3 linked regions of the Arabidopsis thaliana genome follow. The protein of the gene in region 1 interacts with the protein of each later gene in a pairwise test. Each region holds a gene or a part of one and is shown in the gene's direction. Other genes may lie near its edges.

What was found.
Region 2: the proteins of OBE1 (region 1) and HEC2 interact in a two-hybrid assay, tested with the Arabidopsis thaliana proteins (one large-scale study listed by BioGRID).
Region 3: the proteins of OBE1 (region 1) and WRKY11 interact in a two-hybrid assay, tested with the Arabidopsis thaliana proteins (one large-scale study listed by BioGRID).

Annotation. Positions count from the first base shown.
Region 1 is NC_003074.8:2,481,314-2,488,511, forward strand, and holds OBE1 (potyvirus VPg interacting protein (DUF1423)), read left to right. Parts: upstream 1-3,140; 5' UTR 3,141-3,672; coding exon 3,673-3,695; intron 3,696-3,780; coding exon 3,781-4,880; intron 4,881-4,952; coding exon 4,953-5,563; 3' UTR 5,564-5,813; downstream 5,814-7,198. Other genes in the region: Hsp89.1 (HEAT SHOCK PROTEIN 89.1), read left to right, coding at 66-125, 264-338, 407-511, 635-775, 872-964, 1,067-1,144, 1,272-1,526, 1,631-1,733 and 4 more; AT3G07790 (DGCR14-like protein), read left to right, coding at 6,178-7,198. UniProt on the Arabidopsis thaliana protein: Probable transcription factor that acts together with OBE2 for the maintenance and/or establishment of both the shoot and root meristems, probably by controlling the expression of the meristem genes such as WUS, PLT1 and PLT2 and of genes required for auxin responses.
Region 2 is NC_003074.8:18,655,735-18,660,894, reverse strand, and holds HEC2 (basic helix-loop-helix (bHLH) DNA-binding superfamily protein), read left to right. Parts: upstream 1-2,517; 5' UTR 2,518-2,776; coding exon 2,777-3,472; 3' UTR 3,473-3,940; downstream 3,941-5,160.
Region 3 is NC_003075.7:15,288,727-15,294,441, reverse strand, and holds WRKY11 (WRKY DNA-binding protein 11), read left to right. Parts: upstream 1-2,902; 5' UTR 2,903-2,983; coding exon 2,984-3,651; intron 3,652-3,980; coding exon 3,981-4,109; coding exon of another isoform or gene 4,110-4,113; exon of another isoform or gene 4,114-4,196; coding exon 4,197-4,377; 3' UTR 4,378-4,495; downstream 4,496-5,715. UniProt on the Arabidopsis thaliana protein: Transcription factor. Interacts specifically with the W box (5'-(T)TGAC[CT]-3'), a frequently occurring elicitor-responsive cis-acting element.

The DNA of each region.
Region 1 (7,198 bases):
GTCAGATGCAACTAATATTCTTACCTTATTAACTGGCTTTGTATATTTGGCTCTCTCTCTTGCAGGTTGAGGTTGAAGATGATCCAACTGAAACAAAAAAAGATGACCAAGATGACCAAACTGAGGTATATATACCTGCGTCTCTTTACCTGTTCTAAGAAATACCTTGATCAGCTTCTGGAAATATCTTAATCAGCATCAGAAGATAGCTAGATGTGTAAGAAAAGTTGGCTTAGGGTTGGGGACTATTTTTCTTGTAACAGAAAAAGAAGAAGACCAAGAAGGTTGTTGAGAGATACTGGGATTGGGAGCTTACAAATGAGACACAACCGATTTGGGTAAGGACTTGTCAATGTATCTTGAGTGCACTCTGAATCAATTTAACAGTGTATTTTATTTATTGCAGCTGCGTAACCCTAAGGAGGTGACAACAGCAGAATACAATGAGTTTTACAGAAAAGCTTTCAATGAGTATTTGGACCCATTGGCTTCATCCCATTTCACGACAGAGGTATTTTCAAAGGAACACATTTATTGAATTGGATATTTCCATTAAACAGCCGAATTAGATCGTCTTTGTTAGACGATCCACTGAAATATAATGCTCTTTGATTCTCTTGTTGGCAATGCTCAGGGCGAAGTCGAGTTTAGGTCTATCCTATATGTGCCACCTGTTTCACCATCGGGGAAGGATGACATAGTCAATCAAAAGACAAAGAACATAAGGCTCTATGTTAAACGAGTTTTCATTTCAGATGACTTTGATGGGGAGCTGGTGAGAAAAGTTTCTTTTGGTGTGGTTCAAATTTCTTTCAAGAAACCTCTGTCTTTCTAATTATATTGATATCATTTTTGTGGTGTTTGTGGCCAGTTTCCTCGGTACTTGAGCTTTGTTAAAGGTGTTGTGGACTCGCATGATCTCCCACTTAATGTATCACGTGAGATTCTTCAAGAAAGTCGCATAGTAAGCGCTCATATCCAATTCGTATGCAAAGCCTTTATGATATATGTTTTGTTTTAAGTGCAATGCTATGTTAAGCTTACGATTTTGTATTGTGTCTCCAAGGTGCGGATCATGAAGAAACGTCTAGTGAGGAAGGCTTTTGATATGATTTTGGGTATATCCTTGAGTGAAAACAGAGAAGTATGTTTCATAACTCTTGTTCCCCTAAGCTTACAGTTTAACCTTTTTTAATTCCCTTTAGAAATCACTGCTACGTTCTGGTGATGATTTTCCTGACGAATGAGAATGGCATTGTTAACCTATACAGGACTATGAGAAGTTTTGGGATAATTTTGGCAAACACTTGAAATTAGGGTGCATCGAAGACCGTGAAAACCACAAGCGTATAGCTCCACTGCTTCGATTTTTCTCCTCCCAGAGTGAGAATGACATGATCAGCTTGGATGAGTATGTTGAGAACATGAAACCTGAACAGAAAGCCATATACTTCATTGCTTCTGACAGCATTACAAGTGCTAAGAATGCACCTTTCCTCGAAAAGATGCTGGAGAAAGGACTTGAAGTATGTGTTGTTCTTCTGAATGGGGCCTCGTTTTGTTCTTCCTTGCAAATATTCCTATTAACTCAGAGGTGATTGACATGTATTTCTTTGTATTGTGAACGTAGGTACTATATTTGGTAGAGCCTATTGATGAAGTTGCCGTACAGAGTTTAAAAGCTTATAAGGAGAAGGATTTTGTAGATATCAGCAAGGAAGACTTGGATCTAGGCAAGTGCCTGATGTAATTCCTTGATTTAGCATGTCAGGTAATCACTTATGTATAATAACAAATTCTGGCTTTGATCTTTGTATTGACAGGAGACAAGAACGAGGAGAAAGAGGCAGCAGTGAAAAAAGAGTTTGGACAGACTTGTGACTGGATAAAGAAACGATTGGGTGACAAGGTTGCCAGTGTTCAAATTTCCAACCGTCTTAGTTCTTCCCCCTGTGTTCTTGTATCTGGTAAATTTGGTTGGTCAGCCAATATGGAGAGGTAAGATCTGACCTTTTTCTTAAGCAAGGATTTCCGTTCTCCTTTTTTGCCCCTGGTGAACTAACACAGAATATGTTATCTGGACAGGCTAATGAAGGCACAATCAACTGGTGACACAATAAGCCTCGACTACATGAAAGGGAGAAGAGTGTTTGAGATCAATCCCGACCACTCAATTATCAAGAACATAAATGTGAAGTCACCATTCATCATAACTTGTACCTGGCTATTATAATTAAATCTAGGAGCCGCTTTTTGAGCTTGGCTTGTTTTTTTCTTGCACCCTGCAGGCTGCTTACAATAGTAACCCAAATGACGAAGATGCAATGAGAGCCATAGATCTTATGTATGACGCAGCACTAGTTTCTAGTGGGTTCACGGTGAGTCCTATTCTACATTAACATTCTTAACTTTTTGTTGTCTCTAGAATTGAAATAAAGTAAATACTGGTAAAACTTAATTGTTGTTTCTCAAAACTACAGCCCGATAATCCAGCAGAGCTGGGTGGGAAGATATATGAGATGATGGATGTAGCTCTTTCCGGGAAATGGTCAAGCCCTGAGGTGCAGCCGCAGCAACAGCAGATGGCACATTCTCACGATGCAGAGACGTTTGAAGCTGAAGTGGTTGAACCAGTCGAAGTGGATGGGAAGAAATGAACACAAGCCTAATGTTTTATGTCCCTGCTACGATTCTCATCATATTCTTCTTCTTTTATTAGTAGTAGCAGTAAAAGTAGAACCCCAAAACTCAGAACAATAGGCAATGAGCGAATGATAATCTCTATTTATGTTGGAGAGATTAATAATTGATTGAGCTTGTTTTTGTTCCAGTTTGTGTTGATCCTCCTCGGTATAATTTTAATAACCGTTAAGAAAAATTCAGTTGGGGTGTTTTTGGAAAGATTTTTCGAGTTTTATCTAACAAAACTAAAATTTTGGGACATATGGTAATTTTTAATTAAATAGAGGGATGTTGTTATCGTACGAATTGGGTTGGTTTAAAACTTTGTTTGGACAGATTCGACTCAAACGTTGAACGCGTTTAAAAAAGTCAACAAAAGTCGAAGGTTACCGGCTGGTCAGGTTAACCGTTAGAGATTAATGAACTGGCAGCTGTATGTCTTTTTTATAGTTCTGTCTTAACAGGCAAAAAAGTGTTTAATTTATCTTTCCTTTGGGTTTCTCACGGAGTCACGGTTCCTCGTTCGTCCTCTCCCGTCGTCTCTCCGGTGAGTCCTTAATTTTCCGGCGGTCTTTTTCCCTTTCTCGTCTGTTTGGTGCTTTCTTTATGTCTGAGGCGAATACAGCAAAACGTATCTGTTTTGGTTGTTGAGTTCGAGGCTGGTCCTGAAAATTCGGTGACAAAAAGAGTCAATAACTCTCGTGATCGAGTTGGATGCGTTGTTTTGAGGGTTGATTCAGTTTATGACTATGTATTTTGGTACTTGCAAGATTTTCTGATTTTATGAAGATTCGTGTTTGACTTTTATAGCGTATAATCTACGGGGCAAACAGATTCGAGCAACTTGTTTTTTTCTAGCGCTTGTTTTGTGTTTACTCTGTCATGTGTTTGTATTTTTTGAGCTTCCACTAGTGATTAATCATCTCAGCTCAATTTGAACATAGGAGATGTAGTTTTTATCTGTCGGTGGATTTCTAGGGATTTTGCAAAATGTTTTGGGCTTTCCTGAATTAGTATGTGATTTGGTCGTAAAGTATTTTAGGGATTTATGTGTTCCTTGGGGTGAATCTGACATTGACATTATCTTGGTGTCTGCAGCACTAAATTGATGGGCACATCATCTGGGTCCAATCTTCCTCACCAGATGCTACCTCCACGTCAGCAACTACAAACATCTCTTTCGCTTGTATCTTCAGATCCCCACTTGTCACGGTCTAATTCTGGCATTGTGCGTGAATCACCAGCTGAAAGTGCTAGCTCTCAAGAAACTTGGCCAACCTCAAAATCTATTATGGGAAGGAAGACAGATAGCGGAAAGACAGGGCCTGACTCTCATGATCAACATGTGATCCGCCATGTTTCCATTGCTGATAAGGTATCGCTACGGGACATAGCTAGAGAGAGACTTGACATAGTCGCTGAGAGAATGCATCGATTACCAGAAGAATATCTCGAGGAGTTAAAGAATGGTCTTAAGGCTATCCTTGAAGGAAATGGTGCGCAGCCTATAGATGAGTTTATGTTTCTGCAGAAGTTTGTCCAGACGAGATCTGATTTAACTTCAAAGACACTTGTCAGGGCTCACCGAGTGCAGCTTGAAGTTCTTGTGGTTATAAACACTGGTATCCAAGCATTCTTGCACCCAAACATCAATCTCTCTCAGTCATCACTCATCGAGATCTTTGTGTACAAGAGATGCAGAAACATAGCTTGCCAAAACGAACTCCCGGCTGATGGTTGTCCCTGTGAGATATGCGCTAATAGGAAAGGCTTCTGCAACCTGTGCATGTGTGTGATATGTAACAAGTTTGACTTTGCAGTCAACACATGCCGCTGGATTGGCTGCGACGTGTGTTCTCATTGGACTCATACGGATTGTGCTATTAGGGATGGGGAGATTTCGATGGGAGTTTCTCCCAAGAGCGTATCTGGGATGGGAGAAATGCTGTTCAAGTGTCGAGCGTGCAACCATACTTCTGAATTGCTGGGGTGGGTGAAAGATGTGTTTCAGCACTGTGCACCAAACTGGGATAGGGAATCTTTAATGAAGGAACTTGACTTCGTTAGTAGGATTTTCCGTGGAAGCGAAGATACAAGAGGCCGGAAACTCTTCTGGAAGTGTGAGGAGCTTATGGAGAAGATTAAAGGTGGACTGGCTGAAGCAACAGCGGCCAAGTTGATACTCATGTTTTTCCAAGGTAAGCCCACTCGCTATTGTTATATGATAAGGGTTTACTCTTTATAGACCTAACCATGTTTTGTGTATGAAGAAATTGAATTGGACTCTCCAAAGAGCCTTGAAAGCGGAGAAGGTGGGGGTACGATAGCACCTCAAGATGCATGCAACCGAATTGCTGAAGTTGTAAAGGAAACACTGAGGAAAATGGAGATAGTGGGTGAGGAAAAGACGAGGATGTACAAGAAAGCGCGAATGGGGCTTGAGGAATGCGAGAGAGAGGTAGAAGAGAAAGCAAAGCAAGTGGCGGAACTGCAGATGGAGAGGCAGAAGAAGAAACAACAGATAGAAGAGGTGGAGAGGATAGTGAGGCTGAAGCAAGCAGAGGCAGAGATGTTTCAGTTAAAAGCAAACGAGGCAAAAGTGGAAGCAGAGAGATTGGAAAGGATTGTGAAAGCGAAAAAGGAGAAAACAGAAGAGGAATACGCAAGTAACTATTTGAAACTGAGGCTGAGCGAGGCGGAGGCAGAGAAAGAGTATCTGTTTGAAAAGATAAAAGAGCAGGAAAGTGGTGGGAATGGTGGTGAAGCGTCACAAGCAGTGATGTACTCAAAGATCAGAGAAATGCTGCATGGATACAATGCATCGTCGCCAAGGGTAGATCCAAGATCAAACCAGCGAAATCCTTTCAGATCCAATCCTTAGATGTTTGTATTGTCTCTCTTTGTTTGTATTAAAAAAAAAATCCGAATCAATTAAGGTTGGATTTGTGTGTGAAGTATTGTGGTCTTTGTATTCAAATTTTGCACATGATCGTCTATGTTGGGCCATAATGTTATGCAAGCTTTGACACAGAGTGTTGCCAAAATCTCGATACTTATTCACTCGGATTTAGAGAATTGTGGATTTCGCTAATGGAGGGAGATCCATGTTACCTTAAATAGTTTATATTTGAGCCAACATGAGAGCCAAAGAACATCGCCACCGACTTTAAAAAGAAAATATTTTGCCCAAATGGATATTACAGAGTAGTTATTTGCAATAACGTCCTCATGTTTGGGTTATAATAACGATTTGATTTCTTACGGGGTATAAAGCAAAAGGAATCAAAACGTTTGGGGAAATAATGTAATATTCTGGAAACAAAACGCGTATAATCGGATTGATAAGGAATATTATATCATCGCCGATGCAATCATCGACCATCGTTTTGTTTTCCTGTCTACCCAAAAACAAACCCTAGTGTCCGAATTCTCGACAAAATTCATCGGCTCCAAATTCCATTCGTGCTTTTTGAATTCGCGTTCTTCTGATTCAAGATGTTTCTTTCACCTGGTCATTCTCCTCGTCAGATTTCTTCTCCATCGCCGTCTTCTTATTCCGATGATACCCTCCGATCAACGCCTCGCAGTTCTTCCTCGGAGATCATTCCTCGAAACCCTAGAAAACGGATGAGAGTTCTCGATGAGGACGCTTATGTTGAAGCAATCGAGAAGATCATCGAGCGTGATTACTTTCCAGATATAACTAAGCTTAGGGATCGGCTCGATTGGATCCAAGCGGTGAAAACCCGTGACCCGATTCAAATCCGAGATGCCCAGTTGAAGATTATCGAGAGGCGTGGAAAGAAGGCGAATCATCATGTTGGAGATACCGAGGGTAAAACTCAAACTCCTGGATCTACTTTTCTGAGAAATTTCACTCCTTTAGATGAATTTGATGGTAAAACCCCTAGAACTCCTGGAGTATCTGGTAGAGAATTTCATGGTGTTGAAGTAGATGCTGGTGATGGAGATGAAGATATAGATCTTAATTTGTCCCTAGATGAGTTCTTTAGGAGATATACTAGTGAGGATAACGAGAGCTTTTCGAAGATTCTTGAGAAGGTAAATAGGAAGAAGAAGGAGAAGTATGGCTTTCTCCTTGAAGGTGAAAAGGAGGATGGTAAATCTATTGAGGATGTGAAGAGAGATAGGATTACAGATGGGTATGGTACATCTGATCAGCCACCGAGTACTTTAGAAGGATGGAAATATACGGCGAAGAATCTTCTGATGTACCATCCAGCTGATCGGGGTGAGGCGCCTTTAACTGAGGCGGAAAGGGCAGTGAGATTACTTGGATTGACTAAGGAGATAGTTAAAGGGAACACTCGTTTTCATGGTAAGACTATGGATTCTAGGCCAAGAGAAGATGGTTCTGTTGAGATTCTCTACACTCCAATCGCAGGTTCTTCCCCGATGCATATCTCAGGTAGGGACAGAGACAAGTCTAAAAGGTATGATCTTGATGATCTAAGGAAAACACCGAATCCTTTCTATGTGGAATCAGATAAGAGGG
Region 2 (5,160 bases), about 16 Mb from region 1:
CTACCTTGCCTTGGGAGGCAACCTACCCCAATTTTTGTTTATTTAATTATTAAAATATAATTCCTTTTAGAATTTTTTGATATATGCTTCCAATATCCCAGTGTTTGTTATTTTAATACACTGCCCATCCTCAACCAAATACTACGATGACAACTTTTTTTTTTTTAATAAATACATCCGACGAAAAAAGTCAGTAGTCCAATCACTACTAAACTCTAGATTTTATGGAAGTCTATTTAATTTATAAGTTTGTTTGTGGTGAGTTTCATATAAAATTACATCATATATGATCTTTGCATTTTTTATTCGGTGAATTGATGAGAGTACTATCTGATCAAGATATGTTAAATACATAAAGATTTTTCAAACTTTTTTACAAAAAGATTCTTCCAACTAAACAAATCGTCATTGGCGTTTTAGAGTTGCATCGCAAATTTCAGTAAACAATCTTAGCTAATGTTTTCCATTCTGAGTTCTTATTCTTTATTAGTACATTTTTAAATTTGCTGTCGATTTTAACGGCATTTGTTCAATCAATAACGTAGTGAATGACATGGGCGACTTTGATTAAACAGTTCAATAATTAAAGAAAAAAAATCGAAAAAGGAAGTTCTCGAGAGACAAAAAAAAAAATTGTACGAACAAGACTTGGAATCTTGGTTAAGAAATTTAGATTCGGTGGGAAGGAGGAGTGTTTAATTCTTACAGTGACTTTGTGTAAGTAAAAAGGTGAAAAGGGGAAAATAGCATCTATTTTTGTTACTTACGAAGCTGATTGAAAAAGAGAGAGCAGCGAAACGTCATCGTTTCGTTAGCTTTCTTACATGTTTCAGTGTCAACATAAGAGGGTAAAACCAAGTCCAAAGCAACTTACTGTGTCTGTCTATTTTAGGCTAATTATAGGGTAGAAGACGAACTCATAATAATTTTAATTAACAAGTAAGCAATTACTTTTGTGACGTCAAAAGAGATGATTTCTATGAATGAAAAGAAAAAACCCGATGATTTTGCACAAATGAAGCCAAGCATTGATCTTGATTGAAGATTGTGAGGTTTTTGACGTTTGACGTATGCATTTTTAAGGAAAGAGTCATTTATTATTAATTTGGTTGTTGAAGTGCAATTCCTTTGTTAACTAATGTTATAAGAATTTCTTTCTTTTGTTCTTTATTTGTTTTTTGTCAATAAACAGTACTACTCTATGTTCACGTAAAGTTCTTAAAATAAAGAGAAAAATAATTTAATGAAGATCGCAATAAGTCCTTTCCGATCGGCTTTGATAAGCGTGCCATATACCAACGCTCGACGCCAAGTGAGGTTCGATTATATTGAGTCCATTATATATAAGATAATATTCTTCCATAATATACACTCCCTTAGTATATACATTGCAAAACAAATTCATATAAACTAAATACGTTAACATGATGGTTTGTATTTGTGAAACTCGAGAAATTCACTATATTACTCATTTAAACAAAAACAAAAAAATCATGCAAAAAAATAATAACGTAGTACGTTTTCTTCAAGCATGTTCAAAGAAGTTATAACATCAATCTTATTTACTACTTACTAACGAAGACAGTGCATCTCATTAATATTCTCATGCATAACATATTGGATCCATCCAGGTTAAAAGTTAAAATAAGAAAACTTGAATTCAAGGTAATATTGTTTCGCCGTCGCCTGAACAGATCCCGGCGAAACAGATGGGTTCCCTGGATTCTGACATATTTCATGTGGATGTGGGGTAATTAACAATTATAAACAAAAAAAAACAGTAGTATAAAATTTAGATACCAAAAAAAAAAAACTACACAACTACTCTCTCTTTCAGTCTTTCCCATTACACTCATTCGAACTTATATAAAAGATTTATTTTTATATTTTGAAAACAAATTAAAATTGTAGAAATAGGAAAATTCATGGTTGCTGCCTCAAATGGTGAGAGCGGTTCATGCACCTTCATTTGTCCAGAAGCGCCTTAGTTCACAACTCGTGGGTCCAAAATCCCACCGATTGTGACACGTGAACGGTTGATCCAGACAAAGGATAATATCCTTCATGAAATATGACTCAAAACGAATTTTCCATTCATCAGCTAATTTTAGTGACACCAAGTGACTAGTGATTCCAATCTCTTGCGAGTTGCAATGATTCCAGACAAAAGTATATATAAGTACACCAACTAATTTATGCAAAACTGGTATTGAAAGTTTAAAGTAAATAAATTTATATTTTTTGTCATAAAATAAATAGTATAATTTTATTTATAGTTAAAAAAAATACGTGCAACATAAATATAACTGTCCAATGCATATGGAAGGTTGAAACATCCATGTCAAAGCAATGAACAAATTTTCAACTGCTAGCTAGTGTACGTTAATGTATACATACATATATTTACTAAATACATATACGTGTGTGTTACAAAGTTTTAGGAGTGTGAAAAATAGAAGAAGGAAAACAATCCTAATTGTTATAAATTATATATGTAATAAAAAGGAGTAAAATAATAAGAATGGGTCACAAAGTGCTATATAAATCCATCACTTCCTTTTATATTGCTGAATCTCTGATTGGTAGTAACAGTTTACATTTCGCACATAACTCTCCCTCTGTCTTCCACCATCATCTCTTCTGTGATTCAGACACACAAAGCCCTAAATTTCAAGCTTTGTCAGTCCATCTTCTTCTTCCTCCATACCTTATCTCACCAGCTTCTCCATATCTCTCAAAGAAAAAACAAACCCTATAAATTCCACAAAAAAGGAGGATGGATAACTCCGACATTCTAATGAACATGATGATGCAGCAGATGGAGAAGCTTCCTGAACACTTCTCTAACTCAAACCCTAACCCTAATCCCCATAACATTATGATGCTTTCTGAATCCAACACCCACCCGTTCTTCTTCAACCCCACTCATTCTCATCTCCCATTTGACCAAACCATGCCTCACCACCAACCCGGTTTAAATTTCCGGTACGCCCCCTCCCCGTCATCATCTCTCCCGGAGAAGAGAGGAGGCTGCAGCGACAACGCCAACATGGCGGCGATGAGAGAGATGATCTTTCGAATAGCCGTGATGCAGCCTATACATATTGATCCGGAATCCGTAAAGCCACCAAAGAGAAAGAACGTGAGGATCTCTAAGGATCCACAGAGCGTGGCAGCTCGGCATCGAAGGGAGAGGATAAGCGAGCGGATTCGGATTCTTCAGCGGCTTGTTCCCGGTGGGACTAAGATGGATACGGCGTCGATGCTCGATGAGGCTATCCATTACGTTAAGTTTCTCAAGAAGCAAGTGCAGTCGCTGGAGGAACATGCGGTGGTTAACGGCGGAGGAATGACGGCGGTGGCCGGAGGAGCACTTGCGGGTACTGTTGGTGGAGGATATGGAGGAAAAGGGTGTGGCATTATGCGGTCTGATCATCACCAGATGCTTGGAAATGCACAGATTCTTAGATGATGATGATGTTGATTTTTAAATATATATCATATGTTTATTAATATGACGGGAAAAAATATTATCGAGGGAGTTGAATTTAGTATCATGAAACTATGAGAGCATTTTTTTTAAATGTTTTTATCTTTCCGGGTTTCGATAATGTTTGGGATGGTTAATTAACAATTTAAAAGTCAGACAACTTGGTTGTAAAGACTAAAGAATAAGCATAGTTTATCAATTTATCATTACTAAATGAAATAGTCTCTTGTCACTGATCAATGCAACATGTTTTAGCTTTCAGACATCTAGTTAAGGTTTTGTGAGTTGAATAATAGTATTGTTTTCTGTCTTGTTTCCAATGTAAGCGTCAAAAGTTTATAATTTATGGCATTTCGTACCTGTGGTACGTTCTTGATGCATAGGTGTATGATTTTGTGAGCCAACTTTATAGATAACAGGAAGTTTTGGAGACAAATCGATAACACGAACATCTGTGGTGTTGTTTAGCATTTTAACACTTATTGAAAAATAAAAATATATATCATACTTTTAGAGTGTAAGATTCTGCAAAATTTCAATGCATGTAATAATTAATATATAAATACAAAAGTCTAAGCCTCTTATTAAATTAAACGAAAACAGACTCTTATGAAATAAAACAAAAATTGTTTAGAAAATAAATTACCATATATATTGATTTTAATATTGGTGAGTTATATATGTAAAATTATATGTTTTCTATTGTTCTTCTTTTTAGTTAACAAACTAGAAAGGCAGATTGTATTACTACTACTATCTTGCTGTATAAATAACTTTTTCTCTTTTGAATGAGTGTATATCAATCTATCTCGTACTTAAATGTTTTTTTTTTGCTTTCTTTTTTTTGCTTCTTCATAAATTTCTCGGAACTTGAATCAACTACATTCATTACAGAAGATGGAGAAACCCAGCTGACATCCCAACTTTAAAAAATAATTTATATCACAAACCAAGGCTACATATTATTGTGTCACAAGGTAAAGCCCAAATAAAGATCCATTTCACAAAGATAAGCCCTTTACCGTACACAGATATGTTTGTTGTAACAGATAATGATACAAACTAGTATTAGACTTAGACTACATGTTTTGGTCGGAGCACGACGGCGGACATTGTTCTGGGAGCAAAAGGGGTACTTCAGAAAGATGAAGATGAACATGAATAAGGCAGTTTCGTAATTTCACATAAGGACTTCACCGTTAGATTAATCTCGAAAATTTCCATATCTCAGTGTTGTTGTTTTTTTGTGTGATACAGATTGGTAATTTCGAAGATATGCTTTATTTGTTCGTAAATTTGTAAAGGGATCAGTAGCTTTTTAAAATAAACGTCCCTTGGGCCTCTTAAAAATGGGTTGTAACTATTTATCTTATATAAAAACCCATTATGAGATGAAATTCCTGAATAGTCCACTCCAAAAACCCAATACAATTTTTACATTTTTAGCTATTCGTTTGATTGATAATTTCAGGAATGATGTAAATCTTCTTGTCGTGAATAGTATAGTGACGGCTTCCTTTTTATTTGGAACTTCCAAAAAAAAAAATGTAATATTTTTAGAATAGCCTTTGACTCAACTTTAACAAAGAAAAACATGTTTAAATTGATGTTCATGCACTTTGTTTCGGCAGCCCATTTTGGGTTTGGCTTACCTAATTCTGAATTTATCA
Region 3 (5,715 bases), on another chromosome or scaffold:
GACCACCATGTGCTTGGTTCATGTTTAGACGTTAAAGTGAAGAATATAAAGCAAAATTATTCGACACCCAACGTTACATCCAAATATGCGTTAAACATTGATATTAGAAAAATACAAAATATGACATCTAGTTGAAGTCCACATTGGATTCCACTCTCATTTTACTTTTTGTCTTTTATCTACATATTCTTCCTTACAGCTTTCTTTCAATGTTTATTTAATTAGTACAAGTAAAATAGGCATAGCATTGTGTCATAACCCTCAACTCTACAACATGCATGCATTATATATGCATATATAGTAGAATTGATCATGCATGTATTAACTGTAACTGAAGTGAGATTAAGACTTATGAAACAAAACTAATAGGACTACAAATATTAGTCTTTTTTATCATCCCATATTTCTCTGTATATAAACTCTGTAGTTATTTCTAATTTTAAGATTTATAATCATCCTTGACAAAAAAAAAAAAAAAAGAGATTTGTGATCAGAACATTTGTTGTTTAAAGAACTTGTTTGAGTTGTTGTTAAAAAAAAATAACATAATTGTTATGTCAAGATTATTTGAATTAATATTTTTTATCCGTTAAATTGTTATGTAACTTCTTGTCATGAAGTACAAAATATACTCAATTATTAATACGACAAAATAAATAGTACGTAACGTTGCAGAGTCGTAGAGATAGAATTAACATGCAATTTTTTTTTAATTTTTTTTTTATATCAACATGCAATTTAACGAACACGTTTCTTGCACCTGCTTGATAGAAAATAATAATATAAATTATTGGAACGAAATACAACCAGAGAAAAACGAGCATAATTTTATTATTTTATTTTTAGTTTTCTAAAAATCATCTTACTTTTTTTTATCTTGTTTTATGTTTCATTGTAGTTTTAATACGGGGAACGATTTTACCCCGCATGTATAGAACAAAAACAAGTTTACTTTTAAAATTAGTGAAAGACTAGTTCCAAAACCGCATTGACATGTTAGTTTTTTCTCTTACAAATATATATTTGTTATCTTATTCTAATGTTAACCAAACAAATATTGATCGGGAAGAAAAAGAGATGCTCAGAAATATTATAACACAATGAGTGATTGAGACATAGAAAAAAGGATGATCATTGAGATTTTGTAACTATGTAGATAATATAGACGTGCACGACAATAATAATACAACTCGGTCGATCGGGTCAACTACCCCATGTTATAATTTAATCGTTGACATAAGAAACTGTTTTAAATAACAACAATCCATGGTTTCTTCCCCACCCATATATAGCCATAAAACACGTTACATGAACACTCAACACGTTCTATTTTCATTTTTTATTTTGTTAATAATTTAAGAATTTTAAGCTGAAGTCCAGATTAATTTCCAAAACATAGAGAGACAATATAATTATTGCCAGCTAAGATAATCACAATTACTGAATACGATTAAAATCCAAGTTGGAAGATTTTATTTTTGTAACCAATGGACTAGTATCCAAGATAATGTTGATACATACGAGTACATTTTATGTCACTATATACAATTTCCGATATTTTTTATTTTTCAATCATTCGTTAATAAAAATTCTACAAACAAAAATAATTCATCAAAACACTAAATAAATTTTTTTTCCCTTTTTCTCAATTTTATGCCTTGCCTAATTTCTGTTCCATTCATTTTTGAAACAATTTCAATAGTGGAACATGATAACAAAAGTCGACACGTGACAAGAACTTAATAGCTGGCTGGAGATTTTAATAGGCTCATAAAATCATAAAAACATAGTCAACACTTGTATCCACAGATCCACCGTTGGATTGACCTTTCGAAAATCCAGTGGTTCATATAAGAGTTAATGGGACCACCCGGTTACCGAGGTCGTCAAATAGCTTTATGTTCAAAGAAATAATCGTAAATTCGTTATTTTTTATTTTCTTACAATAATTTAGTAGCACTACTACTTTAACATTTTAAATAGTCAGCTTTTCACCTTCCTTTGTCGTATTGATGAATCGCTGTTCTAGTGGACTTTTAAAATCATTAGTCAAACCATTACTGCTATTTTAATTATAATGACTATTATTATTTGTTGTTTTCACAATATGTGTAGAATACTTAGGTGAATTTGAGGTTAATAAAGTTTCCAAGTGAAGACTGTTTCTAAAATGAAAACTTCTTGTTGTAAATAAGTAAACAGTCAAATTTTATCAATAGAAAAAGACAAAAAAGAAGTAAAAGTCCGGCGCCAAATATTTATTGGTTATGGAAACCCCTTAACTTAGTCTTGAATTAGTTAATCGTAAATCTAGTTGACAAATATTAAAGTCCGTAGAATTTGAAAGAATACAGAAGATTCAAATTGGGACAAACATAATATATAATTAAAGCTTTATAAAAGTCAAATGTATCCATTATTATTATTTTGGGATTAATCAATCATCTCTGTCTCTCGTTGACAACTCTTCCTTCTCTTGCCTCAACCAAATTCCAGCTGGCCCTCTTTCTCCATTGTGTGTGAATGAATCATTGACATTATTTTTACTTACTTTGGTCATGCAAACTTCTTTCTACACCTTTTGCTTAAGCTAAGTTGAATGATTTTTGTTAAGAGTGTTGTTATTTAGAGAAAATTCTGTCCATCCATTATCTTTTTGGGTTGAAAAATATCTTGAATTTGAAGTAACGATAAAATTCGGATGCCAGGGGTGGGTCCCAGTAACCTCGAACTTTGAGGAGACCAAACTGTTGATTGCTTTATTCCGTGGAAATCCTCAACTCAATCACAGCCGTTGGATCAAAACCTCCTTCCCGGTTTGACTAAAAAATCACCAAAAATCTGACCCGGTCACCTCCTCTTTTCCCCATATATCACGCATCCTTCTTCTTCTCTCTTCTCCATCACAACCATTTCTCTCTCTCGTCTTCGTCTTCTTCTTCTTCAACGTTCCTCTCCAAAATCCTCAGACCAAGAAATCATCATGGCCGTCGATCTAATGCGTTTCCCTAAGATAGATGATCAAACGGCTATTCAGGAAGCTGCATCGCAAGGTTTACAAAGTATGGAACATCTGATCCGTGTCCTCTCTAACCGTCCCGAACAACAACACAACGTTGACTGCTCCGAGATCACTGACTTCACCGTTTCTAAATTCAAAACCGTCATTTCTCTCCTTAACCGTACTGGTCACGCTCGGTTCAGACGCGGACCGGTTCACTCCACTTCCTCTGCCGCATCTCAGAAACTACAGAGTCAGATCGTTAAAAATACTCAACCTGAGGCTCCGATAGTGAGAACAACTACGAATCACCCTCAAATCGTTCCTCCACCGTCTAGTGTAACACTCGATTTCTCTAAACCAAGCATCTTCGGCACCAAAGCTAAGAGCGCCGAGCTGGAATTCTCCAAAGAAAACTTCAGTGTTTCTTTAAACTCCTCATTCATGTCGTCGGCGATAACCGGAGACGGCAGCGTCTCCAATGGAAAAATCTTCCTTGCTTCTGCTCCGTTGCAGCCTGTTAACTCTTCCGGAAAACCACCGTTGGCTGGTCATCCTTACAGAAAGAGATGTCTCGAGCATGAGCACTCAGAGAGTTTCTCCGGAAAAGTCTCCGGCTCCGCCTACGGAAAGTGCCATTGCAAGAAAAGGTATTGTTACGTCACCCACCTGTCGCTCTAACAACTACTCAGTGACTTCAGTTATTTAATTTCAAAAGTTTCAACCCATAGTTGACTATTACCCTCGCTATATCAATAATTAAAAAATAGTCTAATAATTCAATTAGGTGAACCCGGTTTAGTAATACTGTCCCGGTTATCGGTCTAGTTGCTTTAAATGTCGGGCATGTTTTGGTATTGCGCGCCGACAATGACTAGAACCGGTTGAGCTCAATGAATAACTCAAGTTTTGACCGTTGACTTTTGGAACCCAATGTTTTTTCCGTTAATTAATATTTTCTATTTGATTTTTAATGAAGCAGGAAAAATCGGATGAAGAGAACCGTGAGAGTACCGGCGATAAGTGCAAAGATCGCCGATATTCCACCGGACGAATATTCGTGGAGGAAGTACGGACAAAAACCGATCAAGGGCTCACCACACCCACGGTAAATATCCTACACCCGTCTAATATCCACCGTTGGTATTTAATTTAATCGCGATCTAACGGTGTTTATTTGTTTTTTGCGATCCAGTGGTTACTACAAGTGCAGTACATTCAGAGGATGTCCAGCGAGGAAACACGTGGAACGAGCATTAGATGATCCAGCGATGCTTATTGTGACATACGAAGGAGAGCACCGTCATAACCAATCCGCGATGCAGGAGAATATTTCTTCTTCAGGCATTAATGATTTAGTGTTTGCCTCGGCTTGACTTTTTTTTGTACTATTTGTTTTTTGATTTTTTGAGTACTTTAGATGGATTGAAATTTGTAAATTTTTTTATTAAGAAATCAATTTAAATAGAGAAAAATTAGTGGTGGTGCAATGTTTTATACTATTGTTGTTGATGATTAGTAGATATGGGTATTAGGTAGAACCGTAGAGGTTATGAAATTAATTGCGCACCAAATGATATAGACTTATGTTCGTCATTTACTTTTCATTATTCATTGTTTTTTTCCTTAATTAATATAAATGACTTGGTGGCCGTTGGATTGCTCGCGAAAGTAAAGTTGACTAAATTGATGAATGATTAAAAGTCAATGAGTACTTAATGAGTTGGTTGGGTTTTGGTGTCGAATAATGCATTTGAGTTTGTCTATATAAATGTGAAATCCGAAAGACAAGTTAAGGGTCAACTGAATTTATTTATGCCGTCTGAATAGTACATTGACATTTATTATCTATATCTTGTGTCAAAGTTGTCATTTGTTATTGCCGACCTATGTTTTAAAATGAAATACCAAGTGTTTGACCATTTCCTATGTTTATATTTCGATATCGATTGGTAGTAAGACAAACAGTTTGGCACGATGTATACAAAATTAGAGATGTACAAGTACTTGCTATGTTAAAAGGGAACGGAAGTTACGAAACACTCGTATATTTTTAGAGGGACAAAGTTTCAGTTTCTAGTTAGGAAGGAAGATTTGAAGACCATTACTACTTGTCCCACCAACCAAAAAATAGTATACAAAGACGACCACACTTAAATCATCTGGTACAAAACTCCTCACTTGAAATTCTCAGACACATATTGGTTCGTGGAATTCGTTTGTATCTACTCCTTTTTATGTGAGAGGATCGGAACAAATATTGCATTGGTCACAAACACTATAACGTTTCTTAGTAAGAAAACGCAACGTCATTTCAGCTGCATTCATGCAAGAGTATAAATGTGAAAAAACAATCCAAGATTTTTTTTCAGTCTATAAAGTATAAACACACACGTATCACAAAAATACATCACCAAACACATACACAGCACTTTTTTAAAAATGGCCAAGGCTTAAGATGTATCCTTCTTCCTTACAATAACACTGCTCTTAGCCATACGTTGAAGAGAAGCGACAAATTAAAAGTCAGCCCATACATGGCATACGTCTTCGTACCGGCATCAGCTCCATACGACGAGGAGTTCGACGACCCATTTCTCTACACGTGTATGTAGACAACTACAAGCTGCTGAAAGTACGGAGACAAGTCATGTTCAAAGCATAGGCAAGAGGAAGAAGACTTGGACGCGGACCTCATATTTATGGTCAAAATT